Regions from separate parts of the Mus musculus genome. Here region 1 is reported to be linked to region 2. Evidence: microRNA targets listed by miRTarBase, many of them from high-throughput screens and not tested one by one. Region 2 holds a microRNA gene; the other region holds the end of a gene's coding sequence.
The links. The annotated mature microRNA mmu-miR-874-3p reads CUGCCCUGGCCCGAGGGACCGA and lies in region 2 at 6,402-6,423, shown strand. An mRNA with a match to its seed (bases 2 to 7 or 8) in the 3' UTR can be bound and repressed. Matches are read on the target gene's strand: a 7mer-m8 pairs with bases 2 to 8, a 7mer-A1 pairs with bases 2 to 7 and ends in A, and an 8mer does both.

Region 1 (15,454 bases), not on the chromosome of region 2:
TTGAATTTCTTCTGGCTATGGAACAACAACAAAAAGAAGAGTCAGGGGGCACGTGAGGAAAATGTGCACCCATCAGTAAGAACAGCTACATAAAGAAGGACTTCTGGACTAGAGAGATCAGCAATGAATAGCACTGGGTACTCTTCCAGAGGACCCAGGTTCAATTCCAAGTACCCACATGTAGGCTCACAACTGCCTGTAACTCCAGTTCCAGGGGGTCTGACACTCTCACACCAATGCACAATCAATCAATCAATAAAGGAAGGAAGGGGTTCCACATGGGGCACAACTAGAAAAGCTCACGCATAAACATTCAGAAGGCAGAGGGTGACTATGGGAAGCCTTGTTTTCAAGGCTACAGTGATTAATGTGGCCTTATTGACCTAGGTATTTCAGTCACAAGCCTTCATATCTTACAGGCAAGCTCAGAATCAAACAAGGAATCAGAATCCATAATCTCACAAAAATCCTCAATCTTTGTTTTTAATCTGACCCCAACCCTCTGACATCAATACTGGGTATTTAACCACTCTCAAAGTTCCAGAACTGGAAGGTCAAGATGTAATCATGCACAGTCTCAAAGATAACTTTGTCATTTTTACTTTAATACCAGTACTGCATATAAGATGCTGTTTTACTCACAGACAAAGGGTTACTGGGAAAAGAGAAAATGTATTTACAGATCTGAATTTGGGACATCTGAACAAAACTACAAAAAAATACCCCACTTTTCATTTAAGAGTCACTTGTAATCTTGAGAACCCTCAACGGTGAATGAAACACATGATTAATCACATTTGATTTCCACTTGTATGTAAGAGTTTAATACTAGGTATGGCACACTTTTTTTTTTTTTTTTAAGCCATGTATGGTGGCTCACTCCTGCAAGGTTAACTAAGACAGGACGGTCACTAAGTAGGAGGACAGCCTGGTTTATATGGTAAATTGCAGGCCAGCCTGAACCACAGGGTCAGTCCCCATCTCAACAAAATGAAACAAAAGGAGGTGGGGTAGAGAGGAGAGGAGAAAGGAGACTCACTGCACTAGACCATGTGTATAAGCCTAGCACTTAGCCGGAAGAAGGTGAGACCCTGGATAAGGGGGGAAGTCAGGAGTGGTAGTGCTTTAATAATAATACTTGAAGAGGCAGGGGGATGGATCTCTATGAGTTCAATGCCAGCCTGGTCTACACAGTAAGTTCCAGTTCAGCCAGGGATATGGAGTAAGAACCTGTCTCAAAACAAACAGACAGACAGGATAAGGAAGAAACCTAGCAGAAACGAAGTAGTTAAAAATTCTAGATCAGAACCTGGTAATGGTGGTGCATGCCTTTAATCCCAGTGCTTGGGGGACAGAGGCAGGTGGATTTCTGATATTTGGAGGCCAGCCTGGTCTACAGTGAGTTCCAAAACAGCCAGGGCCACAAAGAGAAACCCTGTCTTGGAAAACAAACAAACAACAACAACAACAAAACCTTCTAGATTAGGAACTGGAGAATTGATTCAACCATTAAGAGGATTTGTTGCTCAGGGTTCAATTTCCAGTAGCCAGGTGATGGCTGATAACCATCAATAAACATGGTTACAAGGAATCTAATGCCATCTTCTAACCTCCAAGGGCACCAGGTACACATGTAGTACACACATACATGCAGGCAAAATACTCATACACTTAAAATAAATAAATCTATGAGTAATGTAAGCCCTCTGGTCAGTCTTCTCATGGTGTGATGAGTCGGCTGGGGATGATATTTAAATGCACTTCGGCTTTCCTCTGCCTGGGCAGGGGCCCGAGACTCTTGCTCTATCAGGCTCCCACAAACAGCAGTGCTTCGGGTCTAGGAACTACACTCTGGACTGCATAACTAAGAAAAATGTTCACCTTCAATGTTCCTTAAACCAGAAAAATACATTAAAAAAATTAATCCCTTTCATACTATACCACTGATCTTAGCTTTGAAATGGCCAGTTCTTTAAAAGCTATTAAGAGGGGTGGAGGGGGGCACAAAAAAAAAACAGGGAACTAATCACTGAGAGGAAATGGTTGGCTCAGTGTGCGTTCTGAAAATCTCTCAGTATCTACTGAATGTATGAATGCAAACTTGCCAATCACTGCCCCACAAACTGGAACAAATCAATCACGATCTTCCTGGTTTCCATGTGAACAGCACACCAAGCTCACGTTTGCTAGGCTGTTGTCAAAGATGAACTCTGTGTGCTCAGAAACACAACGCTCACTAAGCATCAGCACGCAAACTGACAAAACATCTTTCCAGCTAAAGCCCTTTATCTACCTACAGGTGGACCTGGCAAACAGTGGGGATGGGATGGTGGTATCAAACAAGGGGGCCAACTTACTACTGGCTCAACAAAAAGGCAAACTGCCCACTGCTTACATGCCCCGGTTACTTTAACAACCCGTCCTGTCTTTTTACTACACTGCAATTCTCAAGGCAGTCTCACTCCAGCAGTTCGTAAACAATTCTGTGATCTATATGATCTATATCAGATCATATATATGATCTATATGATCTATATCAGATGGAGATATACAAATGGCCAATAAGCGCAAGACAGGTTCAGCATCCTTAGTCACTATAGAAACTAGACATCAAAACCATTTCAAAAGGCGATCGATTTTCATCCACTAAAATGCCTTCAATAAAGACAACATGGCTAGGATTATGCAGCTCAGTGGTGGAGGACTGCCTAGAAGGAGGGGTGCTCTCAATTCCCTTCCTAGTTCAGAAGGAGACATGAAGAAATTGCAATACTGATACATTGCTGATAACAATATACAACTAGGAAAACACTTTTCCAGTTCCCCACTTAGTTATTATGTGGCCTAATGATTCTACTACATATGAAGTCAGGAGAAATAAAAAGAAATGTCCATACTAAAACTCAACACATGAATGTTCAGAGCAATTACTGGGAAACACAGATGACCAGCAGAGCACAGTGGTGCATGCCTATAACTCTAGGATGTGGAAGGCTGTGGTAGGATCTCTTTTGGTGGTTGGTTGGTTGGTTGGTTGGGTTTTGGTTTTGCTTGCTTAGGGACAGGGCAGTTGATTGTGAACAGGGTAGTTGATTATTAACAGTAAGTTTCTTTAATAGAGATAAAAATGTTCTCAAATTGTGACAGATGCCACTAAACTGCATACATTAAGTAGCTGTATAGTGATTTTTAGCTCAGTGAAAAACTTAGAAACTAGGAGAAACAAATGCACGTGCAAATTGAAGTTGTAAACCCTGTCTTGAAAAACATAAACAACAAAAAATTGAAGTTGTATTCAGTGTTCTATTTAAAAACGTAGTTGGAAAATCCTATTTTAAAAAGCAAATACTTTTCATTTATGATGAAAAAAGGAATAAAAGACCCAGAGACATTTCTGTTTGTTTGTTTGTTTTTCAAAACAAGGTTTCTCTCTAAAGCCCTGGCTGTCCTGGAACTCACTGTGTAGACCAGGCTAGCCTCGAACTCAGAAATCCACCTGCCTCTGCCTCCCAAGTGCTGGGATTAAAGGTGTGTGCCAGAACCGCCCGGCAAGACATTTCTTAACGTGTACAAAAGGTGGGGCTGAAGCCTGAAAGTCTTCTGATTTTATTCCCTCTCAGACAGAACCAGTCTCTCAGGAGGATATTTTGAAACCTAACCACGAATAAAATATTGGGGTACAGAAGGCAAAGAACGGCATCTGCGTTTCCCCAAAGGAAATGTTTCCAGAAAATTCAAATGTGCACGAACATTGCTGAGGCATTCCATGATGGCATTTGTTTATTTGTTTAATTATATGATTTCTTAAGATGCGGTCTGGTGTAGCTCAAGCTGGCTTAGAACTAGCTGTGTATCTGAGGATAACTTTGAAGTCCTGATCCTCTCGCCTCCATCTCCCGAGTTCTGAGCTTTGAGGTGTGCACCACTACAACTGGCATCTTGTAAAAATAGCTCATTTCCCCCTAATTTTAAAAGAGACTTTCTGCAACCTTACAGGATAAAAAGTATCCCAACCCTGATAAGTGCCAGCCAATGCTGAAGCAAGTGATTCCACGAAAGAACTTCTCTCCATGCCCTTGAGAAAAAATAAACGTAAAAGAACCCAACGACCAGATCATCACAAAACTACGCTCATCAATTTAAAAAACAAAACAAATACAGAAACAAAAAACTAAAGACAGAGGCTGTCACCCAATATCTCAATGCGGCACACTGTGTACTGAGTCTGTCCCTAAGACCCAAGGGAAAGTGTCACAAAACACAGAAAAGCCAAGATCCAGGAAGGATGAGGGAGGAGCAGGGGGGTGGGTCATGCACGGTGCCAGAGCAGGAGATGCTGCTGAGCGCGGCTGCGGGCCGTGGGGAAGGGATGGCTCTGGTGCTCCGCAGGGGCATGGTTGGTGGGGCTGCACTCACAAAACGCTGGTAGAAGCGGACCAGCCGCGGTTTTCCATGGTTGTTGAAAACCAGAATCGCCTGAATCATCTTTGCCGGTCCCGCTTCTCTCGGTACCACCTGCTCCAAGAACGCACCTTCTTCCGGCACAACACGAACACTTCCTGTTGGTGTCCCGCTGAAAGCTGCTCCCGGAAACTTAGTCTCGGTACCCCTGGGCACCGAGCACTAAAGTGTCCTGCCGCTCTGGCACCCTGAGAGGTCGGCGCGCTTTCCTGGGGAGCACGGCTGTAGAAGCCCAGGAGCACGGTCGCCTTGGCCAGCCTGGGAACGAATCCAAGCCTGGCTGGGACTGAGCCCCTCATTCTGGTTCCATCCTGGAGCCAACCGTGTCGGCAGCAAGCATCGAGACTGGCAATTCCTGCCAGCAGCCGCGCCAGTTTGAGGGACCAGTAGGTGTTTGTGTTTCTTCTTCTAACCTTGGACTAGCAAAAGCTAGGCTTTTATGTTGCAGTGAATTAGGCAAAAGTCTGCCAGTCAAACGGTCATTCTCTCCTTTAGATGGTGAAAGTTGACATCATACGGGATCTCTCATCCAATCCCACATAAACGGAACGGTTGGTCTCAAACTGGTAACACCTTTTCTCATTTATTTATTCATTTAGTTATTCGTTTGTTTGTTTATATGTTATCTTTCTTTGAAACGGAGTCTCACTGTGTCGCCCTGCCTGGCTTTGAACTCAGAGATTCGCCTGCCTCTGTGACCCTAAATGCTGGGATTAAAAGCCTGCACCACCACATACATCCCTGGGATTTTAGTAAATAAAAATTCAAATGACTATTGCATTGAAGTGGGACAAAATGATTCAAATGTTGGACGGAAATGTCAAAGACAATTCTAAAACAGAGTAGCAAGAAGGAACCAGCTTTGCCCACCAATCAAACCAAGCAGGATAATTTGAAGTATGTTTTAAAGTTACATTTATATGGATTTTTTTGGAGAGGACCCACGCGCCTGCAACGGTGCATGTGTGGAAATCAGAGGACAATTTGGGGAGTCAGTTCTCTCTTGCTGTGTAAAAGATCTAATGTAAGCCATCAGACTTGGCAGTGCCTTTACCTCACAAGCCTCAAATCATAATTAAAAGGTGAAGTATTATTGAACTATAACACAATAGTCTGTGGTAAACAATTTTAAAGATTTAATTTTAATTATGTTGTATGTGTATATGTCCAAATGTTGCTTCAGGTGCCCTCAGAGACTAGAAGAGGCCACCTTAGAGCTGGAGTTTATAAGCAGCTGAAGTGAATGCTGGGAGCAACTCCAGTCGTTTGGAAGAGATGTAGTCTTTCCAAGCCCTTGGCATGAAATAATTTTAATATATGATGTAGGGGCTATCATAGTTTGGCTGTAGGAAGGAATTCCACAAGTGCTATTGAGATAACTGATTAACACTTTGAAGAAAAAGCAGCTTAGTTTTTTCATACTTTCATATATGTTAGGGCCACAGTGGATTAAAGAGGTAAGGAAAAAACAGAGTAAGGACCTGGGAGATGGCTCCACAGGCAAACTCACTTGCCCTTTAAGCCTGGCAAACTGAATTCAATGCCCAGAACCCAAGAGAGGAGAGAGCTGGCTTCCAAAATTTGTCTCTCATTGCTGTGGCACGTGTGCACTCATGTTCACACACAACATTAATAGCAATAAATGTGTATGATAATGATACAGCTCGAGATGTAGCACAGGTGGCAGAGCGCTTACACAAAACCCTGGATTCTGTCTCCAGCACTATAGCTGGTATGCCAGCACATACCTGCGATACTCAGGAGACAGAGGCAGGAGAAAGGCAAAAGCTAGAAGCCATCCTTCAATGGGAGTAACAAAAGAAAAAGACGCAGGGGCCAGTGAGCTGTCTCAGCAGGTGAAGATGCTTGCTGCCAATCCTGATGACCTGATCTGGATTCCCAGAACCCACATGATCAGAGGGCAAACTTATTGTCCTCTGACCTCCATACACACACACTAATAAATCTAAACAAAAAAAAAAACAAAAAAAAAAACAAAAACCAAACCTTTTTTGTTTAAAGAAGTAGATACAGGAAATGAAAAACATTTAATTTCACTATAAATAGAAGAAAGGGCAAATAAAAGTATATTTAATAATTTTCACTTTATCAAATATTTATTCAAAATCTTCTTCCCCAATTCTGGTCAAAGTAGCATGGCATTGCTTCTCTCCTCCATTGATACTGAGACTGCAGTCTGAAACAATCCTTTTTGGTTTTGGCTTTGTTTTTTTTCTTCGAGACAGGGTTTCTCTGTGTAGCCCTGACTGTCCTGGAACTCACTCTGTAGACCAGGCTGGCCTCGAACTCAGAGATCTGCCTGCTTCTGCCTCCCGAGTGCTGGGATTAAAGGCGTGCACCACCAATAGATGCAAAACAACCCTTTTTGGAAACCATTTGGTAATCTAACAAGATTTTTACAGGTGCCAATTCCCAGTGATCTAACTCCAGAATCTTGTTTCTCAACCATCAAAAATACAGTGAGGAGTCGGCTGGTGGTAAGTGCCTTTGACCCCAGCACTGTGGAAGCCAGCACAGGCAGAGCTCCAGGAATTTGTGATCAAAAGTCCCAAAAAACATGACTATCCCCAATGGAGGAGCTAGAGAAAGTACCCAAGTTGCTGAAGGGGTCTGCATCCCTATAGGAGGAACAACAATATGAACTAACCAGTACCCCCCGGAGCTCGTGTCTCTAGCTGCATATGTATCAGAAGATGGCCTAGTCGGCCATCAGTGGAAAGAGAGGCCCATTGGTCGTGCAAATTTTATATGCCTCAGTACAGGGGAACGCCAGGGCCAAGAAGTGGGAGTGGGTGGGTGGGGGAGCGTGTGGGGGACTTTTGGGATAGCATTGGAAATGTAAATGAAATAAATACCTAATTAAAAAAAAAAAAGAAAAACATGACTATGTGTTTTGACAGTGATGACATAACAATAATGGGAAAAGTAACATCCAAACATTATGTGTTAAAGAGCCAAGATAATAACAATTATTAACAGGACAGAATGAAAATATGGGTCTTTCCCAGCTATTTACGGACCCCACACAGTTTGAGACAAGCCATCTTTCTGTCCTGCGAAGAGGGTTTTGTCTCGGTTTTTCTAACTGCTAAGCCTGAAATCTTTTACTTTTTCTTTGTTTGCATGCGTGCATGATGCCTGCCTGCGTGCGTGCGTGCGTATGTTGGGGTGCCCAGATGCTGCTGTGTGCATGAGTCAGCAAACAACTGATGGAGTTGGCTCCCTCTCCCACCAAGTGAGTTCTGAGGACTGAACTCGGCTTCAGGCTTGGTGGCAAAGCACCTTGACTCACGGAGCTATCTTACCAATGTTTGATGTTCTTTTGTTTGCGTGGTTTTTGGTATTGGGTTTGTGAAGTGGTGGTGGTGGGGTCTCAGTCTGTAGCTCAGTTAGCCTCAAACTGATGGCAACCCTGTCTATACCTCTGCCTCCCAAGCACAGGAATTCTAGGCATGAACTTCCAGCCTGTCTCTGAGATCCTGTTCTTTTCTACAGAACATATGGCTTCCCCTTCCCCCGGAGTCTGATCTCAGCCTGGCCTCAGGCTGGGCTACCGCTAAACAACCTTCTGCAGCCCAGCACTGTGCACACCAGAGTATGAGCATCTTCCTTGACTCCTTCCTCTTTCCTGGGACTTGGTTCTGTTCTCTAAATACCTCTGGGCATGAGCCCTTTTCTCGCTCTCTGTCTCTGTCTTTGCTGCAGACCAGAGCACAGTGATCTCTCACCTGCTACCCTTATGGAGAACCACATCCCCACCACCTTCAAGGGTAAGGCCCCATCAGGACTAGTCTGTAAGCCACCCCAGATACGGGGACACCAACGATGTGACTCTACATCCTCTTGCTCCTATATCCAAAAAACTTTTTTTTCCCGAGACAGGGTTTCTCTGATTAGCTCTGGCTATCCTGGAACTCACTTTGTAGACCAGGCTGGCCTCTGCCTGCCTCTGCCTCCCGAGTGCTGGGATTAAAGGCGTGTGCCACCACGCCTGCCTTCCAAGAACCTTTTGTGGCAGGGGACAAGGAAGAGGCTAAGCTCTGGACTTGAATCCTGGCTTCTCTCCTTAGGAACTGAGAGAGTTAGTTGTCTGACCTGCTTGAACCTCTCTTCCTCCCTTGAACCTCTCTTCCTTCCTTGTGCATGGTTTGCATGTGGAAGCAGAAGTCTGGTGATCAAAAATGTAGACTTTGATCCCAGCATTCAGAAAGCAGAAGTAAGCAGATTTCTGTAGTTCAAGGCCAGCCAGGACTATATACTGAAACCTTCCTTCAAAAAGAAAAAAAAAAAAAATCCCAGCACTCGGGAGGTAGAGGCAGGCAGATTTCTGAGTTCGAGGCCAGCCTGGTCTACAAAGTGAGTTCCAGGATAGCCAGAGCTATACAAAGAAACCCTGTCTCGGAAAAAAAAAAAAAAAAAAAAAAAAGTTTTTTTGGATATAGGAACAAGAGGATGTGGGAGTGGGGGTGTGGACTTTAGGACTGGGGATGTAGCTTCAGTGGCAGGGTGCCTGCCTAGTATACCCAAAGCCCTGAGTGTGAGCCCCAGCACCACATAAACCAGGCATTTGGATGCATGCTTGTAATCCCAGCCCTGGGCAGGTAAAGGCAGGAGTCTCAAAGGTCAAGGTCATCCTCAGCAACACAGCAAGCTCAAGGTCAACCTGTAATGTATGAGCTCTTCCCTCTGAAAAAGGAAATGTAGCCTTTGAAACTGACTGCCTGGATGCAAATTCCTTTCTCTGGCGATATATACAATTCATAGAGCCTCAAAGCCTCAGTCTTATGTATCAAAAATGGGGATATTTATCCTATGTACATCATAGGGTTGTTGTGACAGACTACTCCAAGTACTTAACTTAAGCACTAGCATCAGGAAGAACTCAGTATTGTCAGTACTGGTGACAGAAAGCATCTGTCATTGAGTTTGAACCATGAAGTCGGATCAGTAATCCCTGTCCTCCCTCACCCTTTTTCCCAGGATCAGGCAGGATGCGTACACCTGCCATGGTCACACTCAAGACGTGTAGACTTCCGTTCCAGATCTTGTCACAGGGCTGAGCAGGGGCACACTAAGACTGGGGTTCTCGTCTAGGATTGTGACTCAGCTAGAAGACCATAAACACGAGACAAGAACCCAGTCGTGTGGAGGAATTCTTTCCCGAAGAGTACTCACTCCTAAGAAGTTCTCCAAGTACAAAACAACAAAAAGAGTCATACCAAAAAATACGGTCTGGGACTTGTTGGTGTAGACAGTGGTGGATCACTCACCTAGCAAGCATGGAGCACTAGGTTTAAGTACCAGCACTATTTATTAAAAAGAAAATATTTTAAAAATATAAAAAGTTGGCCCAGTGGAATGAGTCAAGACTTGTGGACCGGCTAGACACAGCTGGGAAGGCTGAAGGCCTTCCCAAAAATGGCATCTTTAGGACAGCAGCCAGATAGGTGTGTGATAACTAGCTTTATGTCAACCTGACAGAAGCTAGAGTACCCCGGCCCAGCCCATTCTAGGTAATGCCATTACTGGGCTGGTGGTCCTGGGTTCTAGAAGAAAGCAAACAGAGCGAGCCAGTTTGCAGCACACCACGCTCTCTGCTCCTGCCTCCAGGTTCCTGCCCTGCTTGAGCTCCTGCTCTCACTGCTTTACTGGTGATGAACTGTTCTACGGATCTGTGAGTGAAATAAACCCTTCCCTCCCCAAGTTGCTTTGGGTCGTCGGGTTTCATTGGAGCAGTAAGAGCCCTAAGACAGAGATCTAAGGCAGGAAAGCCCACAGAGGCACAGAGCTGAATAGAAATAATGAAGTGGTATCTTGGGTGTGGGACAGGGAAGAACAGACAGAGGAAGACTGGGACAGGAGAACAGAGGCACAAAAAGAAGCTGGCACAGGGTAGAAAGCAAAAAAAGGAGAAAACTGCAGGATTGGAAAGAGCCGGCGCTCTTACCCCCTGAGTCCCTCTGGACTCAGACAAGGAGCCTTTGTCAATTGTGTACCTTGGAGGACTCATCTAGTCCATGCCTGCTACCTAGGGAAAGGAATACTGGAGATAGATCTAGGAAAGCTAGCCTTGCATCCAATGAGGGCCACAGACATACAAAAGCCATAGCCTGGAGACCCTTGGTGAGTACTGAGGTCTTGGGTTTGATTTCATCAGAGGGTGTTCAATGATATTCTGCTTGACAGCCTGATCTCTCCAAGGCAGAAGTTGGTGTGGCCACTTCTCAGCGACACCATCCCAGATGCTGGTCTAGTTGAGGAGGCACCTCAGTCATCCTGGAGACAAGACAAAGAGGCCCAGTCAAGGGCTGTGAGTAAGACCGAATTCATAACAGTCTTCTGGCAATCTTCAGGTGAGGGTCTGGGCCTGTGGTATTCAGAGAACCCTCAGCCACTGCCTTGGCCTCACCTCCTCAGAGCTGGCTCCAGAGCCCATCCAGCAACCCCACCACTTGTCAGCCGGGAGCCCAGACCCACCGCACTCACTCCTCTCACCTTTGGTCAATGTCTGAGGTAAATCCCCCATTTTTCTGCAGCTGCTTTGCTCTACCTACTCTATTTGGAGGCTTTAGGTATCAATTCAAACCTTTAGGTGACTACACTTCAGATGAACAACTAAATAAAAGCCGCAAACTAAGTAGGATGCTAACCCTCGGCACAGGAGACATTAGTGTTTCCCAGTTTAGACTAAGGAGGAAAAAAACCATGTGGTTGCTCAAGGGCCAGCCCATGATGAGTGTAGCACTACAAGAGGAATATTTCCAAACTAAAGGAGAGTCCCTGGTTCCTTCTGTAATCTTTTCTTCCCACCCTTGCTTTTATACATCTCTGGGGCTTTGTGTCCGTCCATAGGGCAGGTCAGCTCCTCCAGTAAGAAAAGCCTTAGGTTGTCACCCTCTGTTAATTCCCTGATGCTAACACCCTCTCTGGAAGCACACGGAATTTATCTTGCCTTCTATTCCTTTGCCCTCAACCCTACCCTCTATGTATAAACTCCCACCAGGAGACACAACAGTACCGGGCCAGTTCCACAGCTGCCCCCTTCACCTACCCATTCCTCGTCCTCTGCCCCGTCTCCTTGCTCTCGGATCTCTGCTGTGTTCCTCTCTGAAGACTTCTGGGCCATGATATTGTCTGTCCAGGAAGCTCCCGTCTTTCCATCACCAGCAAAATTACACTTGGTCACTGTCCCCAGCTCCAGTTTGGCTAAGGAATCTGAAAGAAGAGAAATTCAATGGCCTTTCTCCTGGTAGATTAGTCAGCGTACGGCCCTTCATTCTAAGTCCTCTAAGTCTGGGTTGTTCTCTGGTGTGACCACTAAGGTTCTTGGTGGGACTCCCACACCATTAGAGAGTAAGGGTCAGCCACAGGAAGTAAGGAGTTAGATGATACCCTGGGATATAGTGGATCTATATCCAACTGCCCCAGAGCAGTTGGCCACAGATTTGGGAGTAAATCTCAAAATCACAGGTCATGTCCCATGGGAGACCCCACCTGGCCTTCTCCCATTACTCTAAGCAAAAGAAGGGGAGCCTCTGAAAGGTGGCCAGGGGCCCCAGAGGCTATTGGAACAGGCAAAGCGAGTCATACTGCTCACCTATGAAGGGACCATCACCCCGAGTTTTTAATCGCACTCCAGTCCCCAGTTCGAGTTCCATGACCTCCATCTCTGACTCAGGCATCCAGAATGCCACCGCCTGGTCTGGGGTGAGGCTCTCTGTCAATTCCAGCAGCTGGGGCTTGTTTACCAGGCTCTTCAGCGCCTCCAGGGTGAGCCGGTCTGTGTCGCCCTTGGCCTCCACCTCTGTAGAGCATATGGTGCAGGAGGGTTAGTGTTCCCGGAGGAGAAACATTCTCTGAGGATCTTCAGGAGCTGGTGAGGACATCTGTCTTGCTAGGGCTCATCAGAGAATCCCACAGCAGAGGCGTCATTGCCTGGACTCTGGAACCAGGCTACCTGGAGTAAATCTAGATTCTGGCACAATCTAGGACAAGAGATCTTTCTCTTTGTCCTTGGAGAATGAGGATAAAAATGGTGTGCAATACAGATGAAAAAAAGAAAAAGAAAAGAAGAGAAAAAGCAAGCTGAGCATTTAGCACAGTGTCTGGCTTCCAGCCACTCTCAGCAGGGGTCTCTGCTTTCGTTATTCCCATTTCAGTGGTGAGAGAAACCAAGACTTAGCTGGGGCAGCATTCAAACACCCACTGCCTTCCCACTGAGACTCTGTTCTAGATCCAGCAGCCAGCCTGTGGTCAGCACCCTCTACTGGCCTACTCCAGGCTAGCCCTGGCAACTCCCAGGAGCTCAGGGAGGAAGTCAAGTGGTAAGCCTGCAGGTGGTGGGGCTTACCAAGACATAGCCATCCATAAGGTTGCTGAAAGCTTACATGAATACCACTGCGCCCAGCACAGTGTTCCCAGGGCTTGTCTGACTTCCTGCTGTGGAAGTCACATAAACCCTTTCTTCTTTAAAGTTGGTTTGTCAGGCATTTTGTCGTAGCAACAAGAAAAGTAACTAATATGCTTCACAGATAGACTGAGAGCCAAAAAGCAAACATCCAGTAGGAGAACCGAGAGAGACTGCTGGGACCTGGCCTGCTCCCCGCACAGTGATAGTCGGAGCCGGAAGCCAAGCCTGGGAATGATTCTGCCAGACTTCAGGAGATGGAAGCCATTAGGAATGCCAGCCTGCAGCCTGGTCTACAGAGTGAGTTCCAGGACAGCCAGGGCTATACAGAGAAACCCTGTCTCGAAAAACCAAAAAAAAAAAAAAAAAAAAAAAAGGAGGAATGCCAGCCTGGCTCCCAGGGCTAAGATGGGACACTGGGGAATTCTGAGGGCCTCGAGGGAAGAAATCCAACAAGGGATGCTCAAGCCAGAAACATCGTCAAAGCCAAGTTATGCTAAGAATCCACTGTCAAGGACCTCAGGAGACAAACAAGTCAGTCTAACAGCCTCTTGGAAGGCTGTTAGAAAAGGAAGAGCCCAGGATACCTACTGTAAGATGACATGAGGAAGCCTGTGTTCACCTTCCTGGTGGCACTGAAGTTGGGCTCAATTTCATTTCCCTTGGGGTCAAACTTACGCCTGTGGATACAGCTGGGCTGGATATACAGCACATAGTAGCGCTCCTGGATGAGGCAAAGAAAGGGTGAGGGGACTCCTTCACTCCCTACCCAAATCCCAGCATACCCAAAACACATAGCCCAGGCTCTCCCTGCAGCCTCTGCCCATCTCACCCTCGGCTCCAGAATCCCATCCCTGGCGCTACCCTGCTGCATAGGCTGGACAGATGCCTCGTTTAAATACTTGTTCATTTTACCCATCTTTATACTTACTAGAGTCACATAGAGCATGCTACAAAAGCCATAGCAGGACAACAAAAGGCCCGACTCCAAGGCTTCCACACAGCCAATGGCCTGTGACTTTAATCCAAGTACCAAGGTCCCTACAGGCCACAAGGCAGGATTGAAGTTGCCAGCAAGCCTCAGAAAGGCCATGACCTCAAGGAGGGCAGTCACCTTGCTACTCCCACAGACACAGCAGTGGGCAAATCACTCCAAGCTCTGTATGCCTCAGTTTCACCTTTCTTGGAATAGCATGACATGTCCTTTCAGGGACATTACAAGGAACCAGTGACAAAATGGAAGAGGACATGGCTTCTGCCGTATGTATCGTTGAGAGTTAAGGGCACAAGAGACACATTTGGAAAGGGTCTAGGTGAACACCTGCCTGCACCAGGCCAGCTGAGGCAGACCAGCTTGGTACAGCTCTCCTGGGCAGGCTGGGTGGAGACTCCAGATCGCTGTGTCCCCCTACAACTTGCAATCTAAAGAGCAGAGAGTTGTGGCAAGATCTCTGGGCATGAAAACGACCAGCCAGTAGCATGACTACTCTCATGGAGTATAACACAAATGCATATACTGAAGCATGATGGTGCACACCTATAATCCCAGCAGAGGGAGGAGGAGCTCTTAAGGTCAAGGCCAGCCTGCTCTAGAAGTGGTGTTCCAGGACAGCCAGGGCTACATAGAGAAACCCCTGTCTCAGATCTCAGATAGATAGATACATAGATAGATACATATATAGATACATAGATAGATAGACAGACAGATAGATGGATGGATAGATAGATAGATAGATAGATAGATAGATAGATAGATAGATACATAGATAGATAGATACATAGATACATAGATACATAGATACATAGATACATAGATACATAGATAGATAGATACATAGATAGATAGATAGATAGATAGATAGATAGATAGATACATAGATAGATAGATACATAGATAGATACATAGATACATAGATAGATAGATACATAGATAGATAGATAGATAGATAGATAGATAGATAGATAGATAGATACATACATAGATAGATAGATAGATAGATAGATAGATAGATAGATAGATAGATAGATAGATAGATAGATACATAGATAGATAGATACATAGATACATAGATACATAGATAGATAGATACATACATAGATAGATAGATAGATAGATAGATAGATAGATAGATAGATAGATAGATAGATAGATACATAGATAGATAGATAGATAGATAGATAGATAGATAGATAGATAGATACATAGATAGATACATAGATAGATACATAGATAGATACATAGATAGATACATAGATACATAGATACATAGATACATAGACAGACAGACGGACAAGGCTGAATGAAGAATCCGGCCTCAGCCCACCTTGGGAGGGCCTGATGCTAAGCTGAGATTTAGAGACCAAGGACCCAGGAGACAGTGTGGTCAGCGCTAGAAGAGGCTGTCTGAAAGGACCCAGAAGGGATGTGGGCTGGTACAGGTTGACCGCTGTGAGTGCCCATGGACACCTGGACTGTGTGGGCTAGGAACACATCCTGAAGAGGCTGTGAAGCACAGACAGAAGGTTGTACAGGAGCGGCTACCCCGGATGTCAACATGAGCTCTG
Region 2 (15,454 bases):
GGGCAGGAACCTGGAGCAGGAGCTGATGCAGAGGCCACGGTGGGGTGCTGCTTACTGGCTTCCTCCTCATGGAGGAGCTCAGCCTGCTTCTTATAGAACCCAGGACCAGCAGCCCAGGGGAGGCTCCAGCCAGCCAGAACCGAGTCCTCCCCCACCAATCACTGATGAAGAAAATGCTCTACAGGCTTGCCCGCAGCCCAGTCTTGTGGGGCCATCTTCTCAGCTGAGGTTTCCTCCTCTCAGATGACTCCAGATGTGTCAGGTTGACGTAAACTAGCCATCGTAGGTGTGTTTTACCCAAACACCGGTGCTTACAAGCCTTAGTTCTACGAAGGAAACTGAGGCTCACGGTTCAGTGACTTGCCCGAGTGTCAGCATAGCCAGTGCCCACAATGGTGGGAACCAGATGGAACCTGTTCTTCAAATTGCACCTAGTCCTGTGCAAACCCGAATGTGCGCTTGATGGCTGCTCTTATCACCACATCCTCTTAGGGGAGGGTACAAAAGGGACTGGTTCTCTCTGGCCATTTGCCTTACAGTCCTTCAGTGTCTTTTGTTTTTGTTGAAACATTAAGATGAGACTTTTAAATATTTTATTACATTTCTCTCCGTGTGTCTCTGTGTCTGTGTCTCTCTCTGCCTCTGTCTGTCTGTCTGCCTCTCTTTGTGTGTGTTTGTGTGTGTATGTGTGCATGTGTGTGTGTGTGTGTGTGTGCATGTGTGTGTGTGCGCGCGTGCATGTGCATGTACGTGTGCGTGAACCACTTGTGGGAGTCCATTCTCTTCTTCCATGCTGTGGGAGCCTGGGACTGAACTCCAGTTGTTAAAACTTGGTGGCAAGTGCCTTTACCCACTGAGCCATCTTGCTGGCCTATTCTCACCCTTCATTTGAAAGTGAAGAAATTTATATTTCTTTAATTGTAGAAATATAAGTATATTGCATATTACAAAACCACACTGCAGTTTAGAAGTAACAGTCACCCGGAGCTGCCTTGGCGAGTTTTCCTTTCAGCAGTATCTCTGCACATTTATTCGGGGATATCTGAAGATGCACCTTTTCCTGTATGTGGGATCTTCTGTGAAGGCTGAACCATGTCTCTTTGCCCCCACTAAAGCAAGCGCTACAAATGGAGGGTACGGAGCAAGTCAGCATTGGCGCAGTGATGGGTCTGGGGGCTTTGCAGTATGTCTGTACCATGCCCACTTCACGATCCACTGTTGATGGTCTCTGGAATAATTCTGTTTTTGTAGTGTGAGTATATCTGTGTCAAGTACTCTTTATTAAATGACATATCTTCATTTGTGTCTCTTTAATCTTGAATGATATTGATCTTGCTTTCATGTCGTTATTCATACTTCTTTTGGTGGCGATGCTCTGCTTATGCCCTCTGTCCCTGCCTCTGGTGGAATGTGTGTTCTTAACAGCAGTTTTTTAAGGGCCTTTTCTGTATTGAAGGGCTCAGGTCTTTGTGTGTGCATAGTTTTTTAGTTTGCGGTTTTCCTTCTCAGCTGTTTATGAAATTCTCTTCCGATTCCTGCTTAAATTTTGGTCTTCTCAGTAGCATCTTTGGAAGAGCAGCACTTATAAAAATCAGTGACTTCAACTGACAAGAAAACTGGTATATGTCTATCATGTACATTATGATTTCAAATATTCTGAAGTATTATATATTATAGAGCAGCAAAACCGAGCAATCCAACATATGGTTTGGCCACATCCATTTAATTAATTAATTAATTTATTTATTTACTTATTTTTATAGCCAGAACATTTACATTTTACTCTTAATGATTTTCAACAATGTAGCATTTTATCAACTGTGGTCACTATGCTGTGGAGCAGAGCTCTTGAATTAGCCTTTCTGCATGCACGGGAAACTGTGTATCTTTTAATTAATGGCTCCCTGGCTATCATCCCTTCCTCACTCTCCGTTGTAACTACTGTCCTGCCTGTCTCCGTGTTTACCTGTTTTAGAGTCTGCATGCAGATGAGAGCTGTCTTCCTGTGCCTGGGTTATTTCTTTAGTGTTAAGCCCTCTCCCTTCAAATGTGTTGCAAATGACAAGATTTCCTTCCTTTTTTCAGGACGAATAATATCCCACTGTGCTGTGTGGTGGCTTCTCTGTCCTGTCATCATAGACAAAGGCTGAGGCTGTAGCTCAGCCTTCATGGACGAGACTGTAGCGATGGCGCCTTCTGACATACTGATTTCATGGACTTGGGATATGTATGTGGTAGTGGGATTGCTGGCTCATGTGTCAGACTATTTTTAACTTTCTGAGGAGCCGCCATACTGTCTTCCCAAGTATCGGCGCTTGGAAGAGCAGATGCCCACGCCTGACAGTTTCAATTTTTTTTTCTGTTGTGATTTATTTTGAGTTTAAACTGAAAAAAAAAAAAAAACCCAACCCACCCTTCACTTAACTTATACTTTTCCCTGTAAGTTTGAAGATTTAAAGTCTATGGATCATTTTCAGAATATTTTCAAAATATGTTATATGAAGTAAGGGTCATATAACTGATTTATTCTTTATCCGAATATCTGGTTATAGCATACCACATGTTGAAAGGGCCCACCCCTTCTTAGTCCTTGCCCTACTGTAAGTCATTGAGTCTGTGCCCCCTGGTCTGTCCCTGGCTTCTACTCCGTGTCTTGGCTCGTCTGTCTGCCTCATGCAAGCACTAGGCTACCTTGCTCACTGGCTTCAAGTCTGAGGTATTCCTGACTGTTCTATTCTTGGGCATGGTTTTGCTAACTTCAGAGTCCGCTCATTATTTCTGCAAGAAAAGCTGCAGGAGTCATCGGGGTTGGATTCCATCTCTAGGTCAGTGGGGATTGGGGCGGGGGAGGAGTTATCTGATGGTTGGCCTCAGTCTGCTCCTGTTTATTTGGCCCAGTGACTTCTCTCAGCGATGTTTTATCTTGTCCATGTATGACTTTCGACTGTTCGCTGTCAGATTTATTGATGGGTGTTCTTGATTTCGATACAATTATCAATGTTGTTTTTCCGTGGGCAGCACTAGGAATTGATTCTAGGGGCTCACGCAAGTGCACTGCCATCGACTTATGGGAAAATTGGTGCTGACCGTTCACACCACAATGGTTTCTTCCTAAAGCCTGATCTTTACTAGATTATTGCTCATCTGTGGAACTGTGATTGCTGGGGAAGGTTATTTGGTGAAGGGAAGGGAAGTTATTTGGATCTGGGAAGAACCGGAGTTGGTGGTTTCCGGAGCAACATGTACACGCAGCTTGAGGCTTTGACAACTATTGAGGGTTCTCTTCTGCAGTATACACTTCCACCCTGAGCTATGTGCTGTGGGAGGCAGGCATTATCTGCTGGTGTCCTTGGCATACAGCCTGGGTCCTGGCTTGGGGCGGTCTGATAGCAGCACTCTCATGAACGATTGATATTTTAGAAGAAGAAATAACCATCCTGGACCCAGTGCTGACTGACTGCTCACCTCCTGTTTGTTCCCTGCTGCCTTCAGTAGCCACGCGTGTGATTTTGCATGGATGTAGCAAGGACGGGCACCCTGCTTTATAGAATGTTCAGTTCAGCCCGCAAAACCACACAACGCCGAGTGAACCTAGTCACCACTCCTGGGAGACCACAAGACACTTGGATTAAATAGACAAATCTCAGCTGCCACCTGCACTTGGCTGTACCCAGTCACCTAGGAACTCATCCAGCTCAACCAACAGTTGCCCAGCACTGGGGTAGGTGTAGACAGGCGAAGACTTGGAACCATCCATTCTTCAAGAGACTGCAAACGAAGGGAGGGGAATCAGACGTACCGGGCAGTTCCCATGATATAAGGGTCATAACGAGGGAATGCCAAAGATGCCCTTGCTCTGTGGAGGAGAAGAGGAGAAGCTTTCTGCTGGCTGGAGCACTTAGGTACATGCAGGCTGTCTGAGGAGCTCCCCACTGGGTACCCGGTCCCACCCTCTGATGGCAGCTCAGGGTGATCTTGCTTCTTCTCCACCTCTGTCCTTGTCACCAGAAGCGTCCACAGTATCACGGGATATTGCTTACATAGCAGTTGCTAGGCAGCCTCTCAGCGTTTTATGCTGAGCATTAAACATGCGCTGTCTTCGTGGGTCAGGAAGCTCTGCTGGTGGAGAACCCTGGGATGCACTAGGGTTCAGGGACTCACCTAGGGCTTTCCAGCTGGTCCATGGCTATGCAAGGCATGATAGTCGCCATGGTGATGACAGTCCCGGATCTCAGTTACCTAGCAGTGTGCTAAGTTCCCTACAGTTATTCCCTCAGAGAGCTTTCACAGTTAAAATCACCCGGTTTTGAAGATAGGTGCATGCTGCCTACTTGCCATCGTCTGTTTCCATAGTCCGAGTTACCTTAACCTTCCTGGCTCAACACAACAAACATTGAGTGTCCTGAAGTTTCTGAGGGTGGGTGCCCCAGGGTGGCTTAGCTGGACTGTGCCAGCTCTGGCTTCCCACAAAGCCGAGCTGGTGGTCAGTGTGTCAGCCACCCGAAGGCTCATCTAGGGAAAACCTCATTCCCATGGTTGCTGGCAGTCTTCAGTTTTTCCCCTGTGCAAGGTCGCTTGCTTCTCCAGTGAGGGACTCTAATGCATGAAAGCGAGGGGCACACTCAAGGCAGAGCCTTGCTGTGACCTCATCACAGGACATCCACCTCATCACCTTTGCTGTTCTCTTTGATAGACACAATCACCAAGGTAGCACACACATATAGGGTGAGGAATTAATTTGGAGCCTGAGTTGGAGGATCAGGTGTCTGCCCTGTCTTTGAAGTGCAGCCAGAGGGTGGTTAGGCCAAGATTTAGGCTGTAGGTGAGGCGAGCTCCAAACTCTTCTATGGCATGGCCTCCAAATGACACAGAAGCCTTTTATCTCAGTCCTCTGTGGGAAGGCACCTGAGCCCTGACTCCTAGGAAATCTCTCTGCGGATGGCCAAGGAAGGACGCAGAGGCCTGTGGGTTACACGGAGGAACAGGCGGGGAATTCCAAGGGCAGACTGGTTTGAGCTGTCACAGTTTCAGCCCAGACAGGCTTTTTGATGCACCCAATTTGGAGAATTGGAGGGAGGGGAGAGAGATTAGCGCGGTCTCAGCATTTCTCAGCAGTGGTGACTGTCTGCTAGCAAAGTCCTTTCCCTGAAACAGAGAGGCAGACTTCCTTGAGATAGCCTCAGAGGGTGACAGGAATGTGTTCCCGAGCTGGGGACAGGCAGCTCATCCTGATACACTCCAGCAGAAACAGCTAATACCATCTTGGCTCCCACACCTTTGGCACCCAGCATGCCCCCTGAGGCTGGGTTGCTATGGACAACCAGAGGCTGCCTCTCAGTCTCAGAGCCTGCCTGCCTGCATTGCCCGGATCCACAGATGGCAGCAAGAAAAACAAAATCAGGTTCCAGGAGGAGTAAAGGAGACCGTCAGGAATGTTCTGAGCACAGTGTTTTCCTGTGATTCCAGCTCAGTGGGCACCTTTGTCCACCCCCTCAGAAATGATACAAAAAGCCGTTTAGGATGGGCATATGCAGGGCATGGCAGCCTGCTCCTGATTGGGACTGTCCTGTTTTTAGATAAAACTGTTGGAGGCTAAGGCTGCAGGCAGGCAGGTAGACAGGGTGACCTCACACCTGGCCCAAGCCCCTTGATTGGCACCGCCTCTCTTCCATCTCATTCCACGCCCCACCAAACACTCTAGGACCCTGATGACCCTCACCGTGGCCCCTGGGCTTCTTACTCCTCACTCTCATTCAAGGCTCACATATATTTCTCTTCTACATTCCCAATAGTCTCTTTTAGCAAACCACTCGAGCATCTATAATGGCACCCAGTACCTACCTAATGACTCCGCTTGTGGTTTGCCAAGCCTGGTAGCAAGTGCACCGTACCATGCCAGCCTACAGAAACCGTGTGAGAAAGGTCCTGGTTTTCAGATAATGCAGGTGCTGAAAGTGAGGCCTATGGAGGTTGGAAATCTTGCCTGTGCTCAGCAGCTGTCTAGTAATGCCTGGGTTCAAGACAGCTGACTAGTAATGCCTGCTCAACAACTGGCTAGTAATGCCTGTGCTCAGCAGCTGACTAGTAATGCCTGTGCTCAACAGCTGCCTAGTAATGGGCTTGTGGCTGAGCCCAGATGTGTCTGACCCCAGTGTCCATTGTCTTTCCAACCCTTTAGTCTCTCTTTGAACTTTGCCTTCCTGCTTTCTGGTTGACACATGCTCCGCCCCCATCCCCGCCCCACCCCCAATTGTTTCTTGCCATCAGCTCCTGCAAGGGGCACCTGTTGCTTAGGAGCCTGCGTGGACCAGTCTTCTACTCTACTGGACACACTTCCTTCGGATGAATTTTTTGGTGTTAGCCCTGCGGCCCCACGCACCAGGGTAAGAGAGACTCACTTCCTGCCCTGGCCCGAGGGACCGACTGGCTGGGCCTGCTTTCTGCCCAGCTCACCTGTCATGGAAGAGAGTTTGGACACACTCCACTCTTGCCCCTTGAAGAGAGTGTGCATAGCCCGGGCAGCCCTCAGACCTGACTGGACATCCCCTGTGGCCAGGGTTAGAGTCTCGATCCACACACGTTTACCATCTGCTCCGGCGTGTTTATTCTCACAGTCGTTCTCCCGGAAGCAGAGTAGTGGACAGCGAAAGAGTGTTGAATGTGTGCGTGCAAACTCACTCAGCAAGCAGTTGCCGTTTTAAGAACCAGGCAGCAGCCTCACCAAGATAAATGGCCGTTTGACTTTCCATAGTGACAGTGTTCTCCTTGGGAGGTGCTAATGACCATCCTGTCAAGGTGGAGTTCAGTTTGCCTGTACTCAGGCAACCAGAAATCTCCAGCAAGCAGAACTGCAGTCCCCTAACACAGCAACAGCTGAGACCTGGGATCAGGCCGCCAGGGCACCTGTAAGACTCTCAAGTACATTGTATTTTTTAGGAGGATTATGTGACAGGCAACTAGTTTTATTGTTATTCCAGAACCAGCTCTTCTCTTCCTTTAGACCTCTGCATACCTAGCCTTACCCAGGGTCACCTCAGCGAATTAATCATTGTTGCTGGGCATGATGGGATGGCATGTGTCTGTAGTTTCACCAGGCTGAGGCAGGAGGATTCCTCGAGTCTAAGAGTTTGGGGCTAGCCCAAATGACAGTGAAACACTTAATGCAAGTTTTATGGAGGTTGTGGACACATTGGGAAGCTTTCAAGCAGTCGTTCTCAACCTTCCCAATGCTGAGACCCTTTAACACAGTTTCTCATGTTGTGGTGTCCTCTAACTATGCAATTATTTTTGTGGCTACTTAATAACTGTAGTTTTGCTCCTGTTCTGAATTATAATGTATGTAGGATTCTGTGTTTTCCAGTGGTCTTAGGCGACCCCTGTGAAAGGGTCCTTTGACCACCCGAGGGGTCACCATACACAGGTTGAGAACTACTTCTGTATCGCTAGCCTGGAGGAGGGAGCTGGAACATCTCTGAAGTTTGCCAGGAAGCTGAACTCATTAATGGCCCCTACCCCTCACTCAATGGATATGTCCGTGGCTGCCATTTAAACAAGATGTGGTGGGAGGAAACATGCAACCTGACTTTTCTTCAAGAATGATTCTGCTGACTCAGACCAAGGGCTCTGAGCTGAGACATGCAGGAAAGGCACATGAAGACTTGGTCTTGGGAGCACTGCAGCAAGGCCAGATCTGTGGTCTGGGAGCACTACAGTGAGGCCAGGCCTGTGGTCTAGGAGCACTGCATCGAGGCCAGACCTGTGATCTGGGAGCACTGCATTGAGGCCAGGACTGTCATCTGGGAGCACTGTAGGGAGGTCAGGCCTGTGATCTGGGAGCACTGCATCAAGGCCAGGCCTGTAGTCTGGGAGCACTGTAGGGAGGTCAGGCCTGTATGTCTTGGTTTGCTTTGGAAAAGATTAGAGGCCAGAAAAGCCTCTGAGCTTTGAAGACTTTGTGACCTGCATTTGGATCACAGACACTGTGGACCAATTCTAAAGAACCAGTAGCCAGCGATATGGGCAGTGGGGGAGTCTGGCATCACAGTTGATCTTGTGTATGGTTGCCAGTTTGGGCTTCTCTTCTCCTGAGGTTTGAGCTCCCACCAGCACACGGCATAGATGACCCCTCCTCTCTTGCGTGACATGTAGTGATGAAGTAGAAAGCAATGTGACAATTCAGCACAGCAGAAATTGTTCATGGCGTACCATCAAGAAATCCCTACAGGCCAGAGGATGAAGATACGCTTCTTGGTGTCCACTGATGCAGACGCAGAGCCCTGGCATCTCCCGGGACTGTGTGTTAGGGGTGTGTTAGATTCTCAGCCGAGCTGCTGAATCGAAGGAAACTTGAGGTGGGGCCCAGTGGTTTGTGTTTTTGCAACCCTGAAGTTTAAGGACTGCGGGGTGGATAAGGCAGGCTTTGGATGATGCTCAACCCCGTGGCTTACGCTGGCTAACCAGGACCTTCACACTTCACACTGCCTCTTAAGAAGGGTGTTGGAATGCCAGGAAGGGATACCAACAGGGGCAGTGAGAGTTTGCCCAAGTTTATCTAAATATGCAGACTGTTGTTTTCTTTGGAACCTTGGTTCTTTTTTTTTTTTTTTTTATCAATAGCATATAGGATAGTTCTGAGGGCACAGATGCCACAAGTAAGTAAGACTGTTCATTAACACAGCCAGAAAAATGGCTTTGCTCTGATTTGGCCACGCCCAGTGGCAAGAAATACACACGAACTGACTGCTCTCCAAAATATACATATAAGTGTGTTTAACCAGGACAGCTATTTCACAAAATAACACTCAGACCGTGTATTCCCTGTGCTGTTCAATTTGATGTGTCCTGGTCACAACCCATCTAGTCGGTGACATGACTCCCTGATGAAGCCTACCCTGCAGGGGCGCTATTGTTGCAGTTCCTGTCTAGAACAGGAAGAGAGCCGGGCAGCCTCACAGTCTATGTCAGGGGGCTTGGGTTCCCTGTCTGCGCTGCCTCGCTTTGCTGAGTAACCTCTGGCCGTTTACTTGTGGTTTCTGGTCCTTATACTCCTCGTCTGTCAGTCACAGTGACAAGTGAATGACAACCCACCTCGCATGCCTGGCTGTGTCAGCCACAGTCTTACTTGTAGGAGAGAAACACACACACACACACACACACACACACACACACACACACACACACATACACACACACACACACACGCACACACACACTTTATGTACCATTTTTTTCCCAGAACACTGTCAGTTAAGTAACTCAAATAGCCACCAAAACCACCAGAGTGTTTAGAAATTATTTTTTCTTTACCATAGATGATGATAGGTGCCCTCTGCAGTCCTGATACTTAGAAATACTTATGTGCCATCATATTATTCTAAAAATGTATCCAAAAATCTGTGCTTTCCACCTCACATAGGTTTGTTTGCCTCAGTATAAAAATTGTGCCCCCCCCCCCCCATCTTGTGGGTACTGAGCTGACAGAAGATGCTTTTAGTATCACGGGATCCCAAGTGAGGGTATTCGGAAGACGTGTGCCTATACTTGTTCTGTACTTGACATGTTGACATGCAGGCTTTCCTTGAATATGCACACCTCCCCCCCCCCCCCCCCCCGCCACCAGTGACTAGGGCTTTGTCTTAGTTAGGGTTTTACTGCCGTGAACAGACACCATGACCAAAGCAACTCTTATAAAGGACAACATTTAATTGGAGCTGGTTTACAGGTTCAGAGGTTCAGTCCATTATCATCAAGGCAGGAACATGGCAGCATCCAGGCAGGCATGGTTCAGGAGGAGCTGAGTGTTCTACATCTTCATCTGAAGGCTGCTAGCAGAATACTGGCTTCCAGGCAGCTAGGGTGAGGGTCTTAAAGCCCATGCTCACAGTGACACACCTACTCCAACAAGGCCACACCTCCTAATAGTGCCATTCCCTGGGGCGAGCCTATATAAACCGTCACAGGCTTCCTTTTCCTGTCTTTAGCACCACAAGCTAGCAGGCAGCCCATGGAAGGGCCACGGGTTGGCTATCCGTTCCCGTGCGTGTTAGTTACCATGCACTTGTCTTTCCTGAGGTCATGATTGTGGTTGGTGGCCAGGCACCCAAGGCGATCCGCAGCGTGGAGTGCTATGACTTCGAGGAGGGCCGCTGGGACCAGATAGCCGAGCTTCCCTCCAGAAGATGCAGAGCAGGTAAGCGGCCCTGGCCAGCCCTGACTCACCTGGGTTCCCAGCAGCTCTTCCTCAGCTGATGTCTGCCTCATGATGGCCGTGACAGCCATGAAGCCTTGCTCCTTATCACTGCAGACCCCCTTCCTACCTGCACTGTGGGGCTACTTGCTTTGAAGTCAGTTCTTATGTGCTTATGAGTTTAAGCTGATTCTGGACTTTGCACAAGTCAGGTGATATTAGACAAATACGGGAGAGCTGAGTCCCGTAATCACTCTCAGGTGTCTCGAGCTGGTGGTAGCCTCCCCAGGAGGCTGTCATAAGCCTACCTTGTCACCCATCAGGTTGGGCAGTCATCCCCATCCCCGACTCTCATGCCCTGTGTTCCTGCATCACAGGTGTGGTGTTCATGGCAGGCCACGTGTATGCCGTGGGTGGCTTTAACGGCTCTCTGCGGGTCCGGACAGTGGATGTGTACGATGGAGTGAAGGACCAGTGGACGTCCATTGCCAGCATGCAGGAGCGCCGGAGCACCCTGGGTGCGGCCGTGCTCAATGACCTTCTCTACGCAGTCGGAGGCTTCGACGGCAGTACCGGTAGGTCCAGGACCACGTTGCCATTCCTTATTCTCTGGGCAACCTTGCTTTGCTCGGTCAGCTCTTGGGCTCGTCTCTGTGCCTTGTAGCGATGCCCCGGGAATGAACCTGTCAGATCTAGTGAGCTCTCCTTCCCCGACACAAGATGCTCACACAGAAAAGGTATCCCGTGGCTCACCACTGTGCAGGTTTCAGTCCATAGCCCGTGTGGACCTGTGGTGAGATCTTTCATCATGGTGCAGTGTGGCCACGTGAAACTGCTCTCTTCATTAGCCAGGAAGCAGGAGGAAGGGGAGAGACTGAGATCTTAAAGGTCACCTCCAGTGCTAAGGATCCTCTCCCAAAGGTCCCGCCAGTTCCCAGCGCCACTACTCGAGAACAAGCCTCCAGTGTAAATGTGGATCTCCAGGGCACTCAGGAACCAGACTCCTAAGTGCTTTCCTCCTCAGTTACGCAGTTCTGTCGGTGGAAACAAGACTTCTGTAGCCATAGCTACTCTGTGACACAATACATCCTGAGGAGGCCCCCGCACGCAGAAGGGTCCCTTCCTTATCTCCCCACACTTAGCCTGTTTCCTCAGAGCATCATGTAGAGGAAGGGGTTTGCCCTGATGGGATCTGCCTCAGGATTCTAGTCTGAACATTTTACAGAGCAGCTGAGGGACCTTAAGATTGGGGCCTAAGGTGCTTGGCTCAGAGCAGGCACTGCACCCCGATTGGCCATCAATTTTTCTATTGTCCCATAGAGCCCTGCAGGCTATATCACTGCTCAGGGGCCCCTCACCCCCGCATTTTATCTCACTTCAAAATTTTCAACCTGGGACCTGGAGAGAGAGAGAGAGAGAGAGAGAGAGAGAGAGAGAACGAATGCACGCATCGGTTGCTCTTCCGCAGGTCCCAGGTTCCTTCCTTCCTTCCTTCCTTCCTTCCTTCCTTCCTTCCTTCCTTCCTTCCTTCCTTCTTTCCCTCCCTCCCTTCCTCTCTCTCTCTCTCTCTCTCTCTCTCTCTCTCTCTCTTTCCTTCTGCTTTCCGAGACAGGGTTTCTCTGTATAGCCCTGGTTGTCCTGGAACTTGCTCTGTAGACCAGGCTGGCCTGGGACTCAGAAATCCGCCTGCCTCTGCCTCCCAAGTGCTGGGATTACAGGCATGTGCCACCCAGATTCATTTCTAAGCATCCGTGTGGCAGCTTACAAGCATCTGTAACTCCAGTTGCAGGGTATCCGATGACCTCTTCTGGCCTCCACAGACACTGCACTCATGGAGTGCACAGACATACATGCAGGCCAAACACTCACACACATAAGAAACAATTGTAAACATTTCAATTTGAAGTGTTAGTGGGTGTGAGTTTGGAGAGAGGACATCTGTGCTTACGTCACCAGACAGGATACTGAGCCAGGCAGTTTATCGAAGACAGTGACTCCATCTACAGCAGTAGTCTCTGTCTCTGAGGGAGATAAATGCAGTGTTGTTTGTTTTGTTTTTCTTTATTGAACGTCTCTCTGACAGCTCCTCAGTGAGCATAAGCTAAGAAGGGCATAGATGGTTATTGCAGTGGAACTTCTTCGGCAGAGGGGAAAGCCTGGCTGACTGCTGTATTACTCCAGAGACGAAGCATGGAATTCAGGGGTCACTGTTCCCAATTGGTCTGACTGCACACAGATACTGGGGCAGAGTACCTTAAGATCCTCAGGGCTTCTCCCATGATCACAATATAGTTTGCTTTGACTCCAGCCAGGGTGCTTGTGTCTCTAGTAGCAAGAAGCGGAAAGAGGTCACCCCTGCATCAGAAATGCCAAGGGAACCCCAGAAATCTTCGTCAGAATTCTGCCTAGGGCTCAGGGTCACCTACCTGCATGGGATCTTGGGAGGTACATTTTTAGCCATCTAGCTTGTAAAATAGAGGAAGACACGGGAAGGGGGTTGGGACTGGTGCCCAGTAGGGGCATCATGGGGCGTTTATTTGGGATCAAATGTCCCATTCTGTAAGTTTAATGGCTCGTATCTATAGTACAGTTAGGGCATACCCCTAGCTTTCTTACCAGCTCCCTTGTATGTCACAGAACCATTGGTAGTCAGTGGTCACCTTGTGCAGATTGAGGAGTTACCATGGCCACACACTAGGCAGAGGTGTACCAAGCTAGATATGGAGTCTGTAGACCTGCCCTCATCTCTTCCTGGTCTCAGCATTCCTCACACGTCATAGCGAGGCCCATGGCTGTAGAAATCCCACCATTCTCTTCTCCCCAGGCCTGGCATCCGTAGAAGCCTACAGCTACAAGACCAATGAGTGGTTCTTCGTGGCCCCTATGAACACACGGCGGAGCAGCGTGGGAGTGGGTGTTGTGGAGGGTAAGGAGGTAGCAGAGGGTGGTGGCTGCTCCTACCCTAGCCCGTGGGTCTTGTCCTGAGTCCAGTATTGTGCTTGATGCCCCCTCTACTGTGGGCTCCACTCTTAAGGTCACTGACCAGAGTTAAGTTCATTGTCTCTAGTAAACAGACTAGGAGGGCTGAGACTGGGTGGGGAAACTCCTGAGCCAAGGCTACGAAGGGGGTCAGCAGGTTGGGGGAGAAAGAGGACACTTGGGGGAAAGTGACAGCCTGTCCCTTGTATCTCTGCTAACAGTGGGGGATGGGAAGGATGTTGGAAGCTCAGAATCAACATACAAACTGGGGTACACTGTAGCAGGGAGGGGTACAAATTATGCTTGCATAATTATTATGTGTTGCATGCTAGCAGGGATGTGAGAAATGCGGGCTTCTTTTTCTCAGGTCTGACATGTCCCCAGATAGGCTAAGTATGGGGTTGTGGCTAAGGCAGGAGGGCGTTCCCTGAAGTTCGTAAAACATCTTTTTTCTTTTACTCATTCTTTCAAGCCATCTGGAAGAACACAGGCAGGACTCCGATTTTTCTCAGTGGGAAACCGAGTCCTTGTCTTATGATAGTAAATAGCAGAGAAGTCCTCAAGGTCTTATGACTCCTAATCTGGAGCCAGAGTCAGGTCTCAATTGCTGATAGGTAGAAGTTTCTGAGTTCAGTCCTGACACAGAGGCCAGGATTCTGTCCCCCTATCAGGATAAGTTGTATCCTCTTGGAGAGATACAAGTTCATTTGTCAGCCACATCCAAGAGCGTTGTCTAGCTGGCTTCTTGTTTCCCTTTTCGTTTCCCTTCTCGTTCCTCAGCCAGGAGCAGCCAACAGACCAGCAGCTAAAAACAGCATGCACATTCAGGAAGAGCCTGCTTGCTTCAGCTGATACAAGATTCGAATGGCTGATAGGGTTAGCGGAGGTGTCTCAATGGTAGAGATTGGAAATCTTGCCCGTGACACGGGCAGTGTCAGTGTGTCTGCTTACAGAAGGGCAGGCAAATGGCTTGCCCTGCAGGTGTAGAGGGAAGCTGGGAGTTTGTTTCTCTTGCCCACCCTGCACCTGACGCTCTATGGGCTGTGTGCTGCCTCATGACGGCAGAAAGTGTTTCTAAGAATGTGCAGGGTGCACTGGAGTGGACTGTGCTTCATAGTGGTTAAGGACTCAGCTTTCCACACAGCCCATTCTCCAGGCACATCCTCACACTACCGAGGCTATGCAGTCTGAATGACCCTTAAGAATTACAGGGTAATTAGCTACTTGCAGCTTAGAAGAATCCCTCATAAGGACAAGGTGAGGTGTGGGTTGGAGTGTAGACAGAAATGCCCAACAGAGCAGAGAATCACAGAGATGGGACCACCTGAGCTGGCACACACGGAGAGGTGGCCCCGGGGGATTTTGTTTGTCAGCTTGGACCTTGTGAGTGAGGAGCTGTGCATGAGTCCTTTTTCAGAAAGGTCAGCTGAAAAGACTTGGAGAAAAACACAGCTCAATGATATAGGATTTCTGGATTGGTAGCCTTGATGGTATAGCGCTGTTTTGGGCCCGAGAATGTGAATTTTCACATCCTGGTTGCACCCTCCACGTTAGGGACTCATTTAATGGCTCACCCAAAATTCTTGATTAAGTAATTCAAACCCTGTACTTATTTAGCCTGCAGCTAGTGTCAATATGGTCTGTGGCTGGTGTCATGATATCCTGTAGATCTGATATCCATAGGTGAAGTAGGGCTTCTTTCCCTGTCCCCGCAGATAGGAACTCTCCTATTGTATCTAAGACTAAATGTTAAACCCCATATATTTGAATCCCTGTCCTCACAGGTCAGATAATGATTCCCCTCTCTTTACTGCACCTAGCGCCTAGCTCCCAGCCCCAGATGGAAATGGCTCTCCCACGGGAGGTCAGCCTTATTTTTATTGAGGGATACTTGATAATACTTCAGGGTTCTTGTATACAGCTCAGAGAACAAAGTTGGCCGGCAGAAAAATCCCAGCTGCCTCAGCCCTGGGTGCACACAGAGCGCTTCCCTTATGGCGTGGGTGGGGCTGGAAGAATATTCTTCTGTATCCTCTTCACTTGTCAGTATGAGCCTATGTCCAGAAAGCCTGATGTGTGGTCATGGTGGAGAGCCTTGTAGCTCCCGTTGCTGGTGTGCTTTAACCTAGCTCCTCAAGCAAGCCTATATCGAACCCCATTGATGCCAAGTGGGTGCTCTGTGCTGGGTACCTGGGCCTCTTTTAGGAAGCTTCAACATTGCTTCTAAGCATCTCAGGGCTTCAGAGCAGGCGGGTATGTGGCGGGGTGGAGGTGGGGTGGGGGAGATGT

Region 1: the mRNA of Arpin is a reported target of mmu-miR-874-3p. Seed matches in the 3' UTR shown: 7mer-m8 at 10,098-10,104.

What each region holds. Positions count from the first base shown.
Region 1 is chr7:79,916,093-79,931,546 of GRCm38, forward strand. Arpin (actin-related protein 2/3 complex inhibitor) reads right to left here. Exons shown (of 6, transcript NM_027420.4): 3 at 13,481-13,613; 4 at 12,080-12,286; 5 at 11,534-11,697; 6 at 9,267-10,758. The coding sequence ends at 10,750. It overlaps 5430400D12Rik (a long non-coding RNA gene), which reads left to right and starts at 4,557. Exons shown (of 2, transcript XR_003946805.1): 1 at 4,557-4,847; 2 at 4,957-10,185. Ap3s2 (adaptor-related protein complex 3, sigma 2 subunit) reads right to left here and starts at 4,548. Exons shown (of 6, transcript NM_009682.3): 1 at 4,417-4,548; 2 at 1-15. The coding sequence starts at 4,485.
Region 2 is chr13:58,014,104-58,029,557 of GRCm38, reverse strand. It overlaps Mir874 (microRNA 874), which reads left to right and starts at 6,358; the gene lies at 6,358-6,433. Klhl3 (kelch-like 3) reads left to right here. Exons shown (of 15, transcript NM_001362415.2): 9 at 10,072-10,189; 10 at 10,564-10,761; 11 at 13,011-13,112.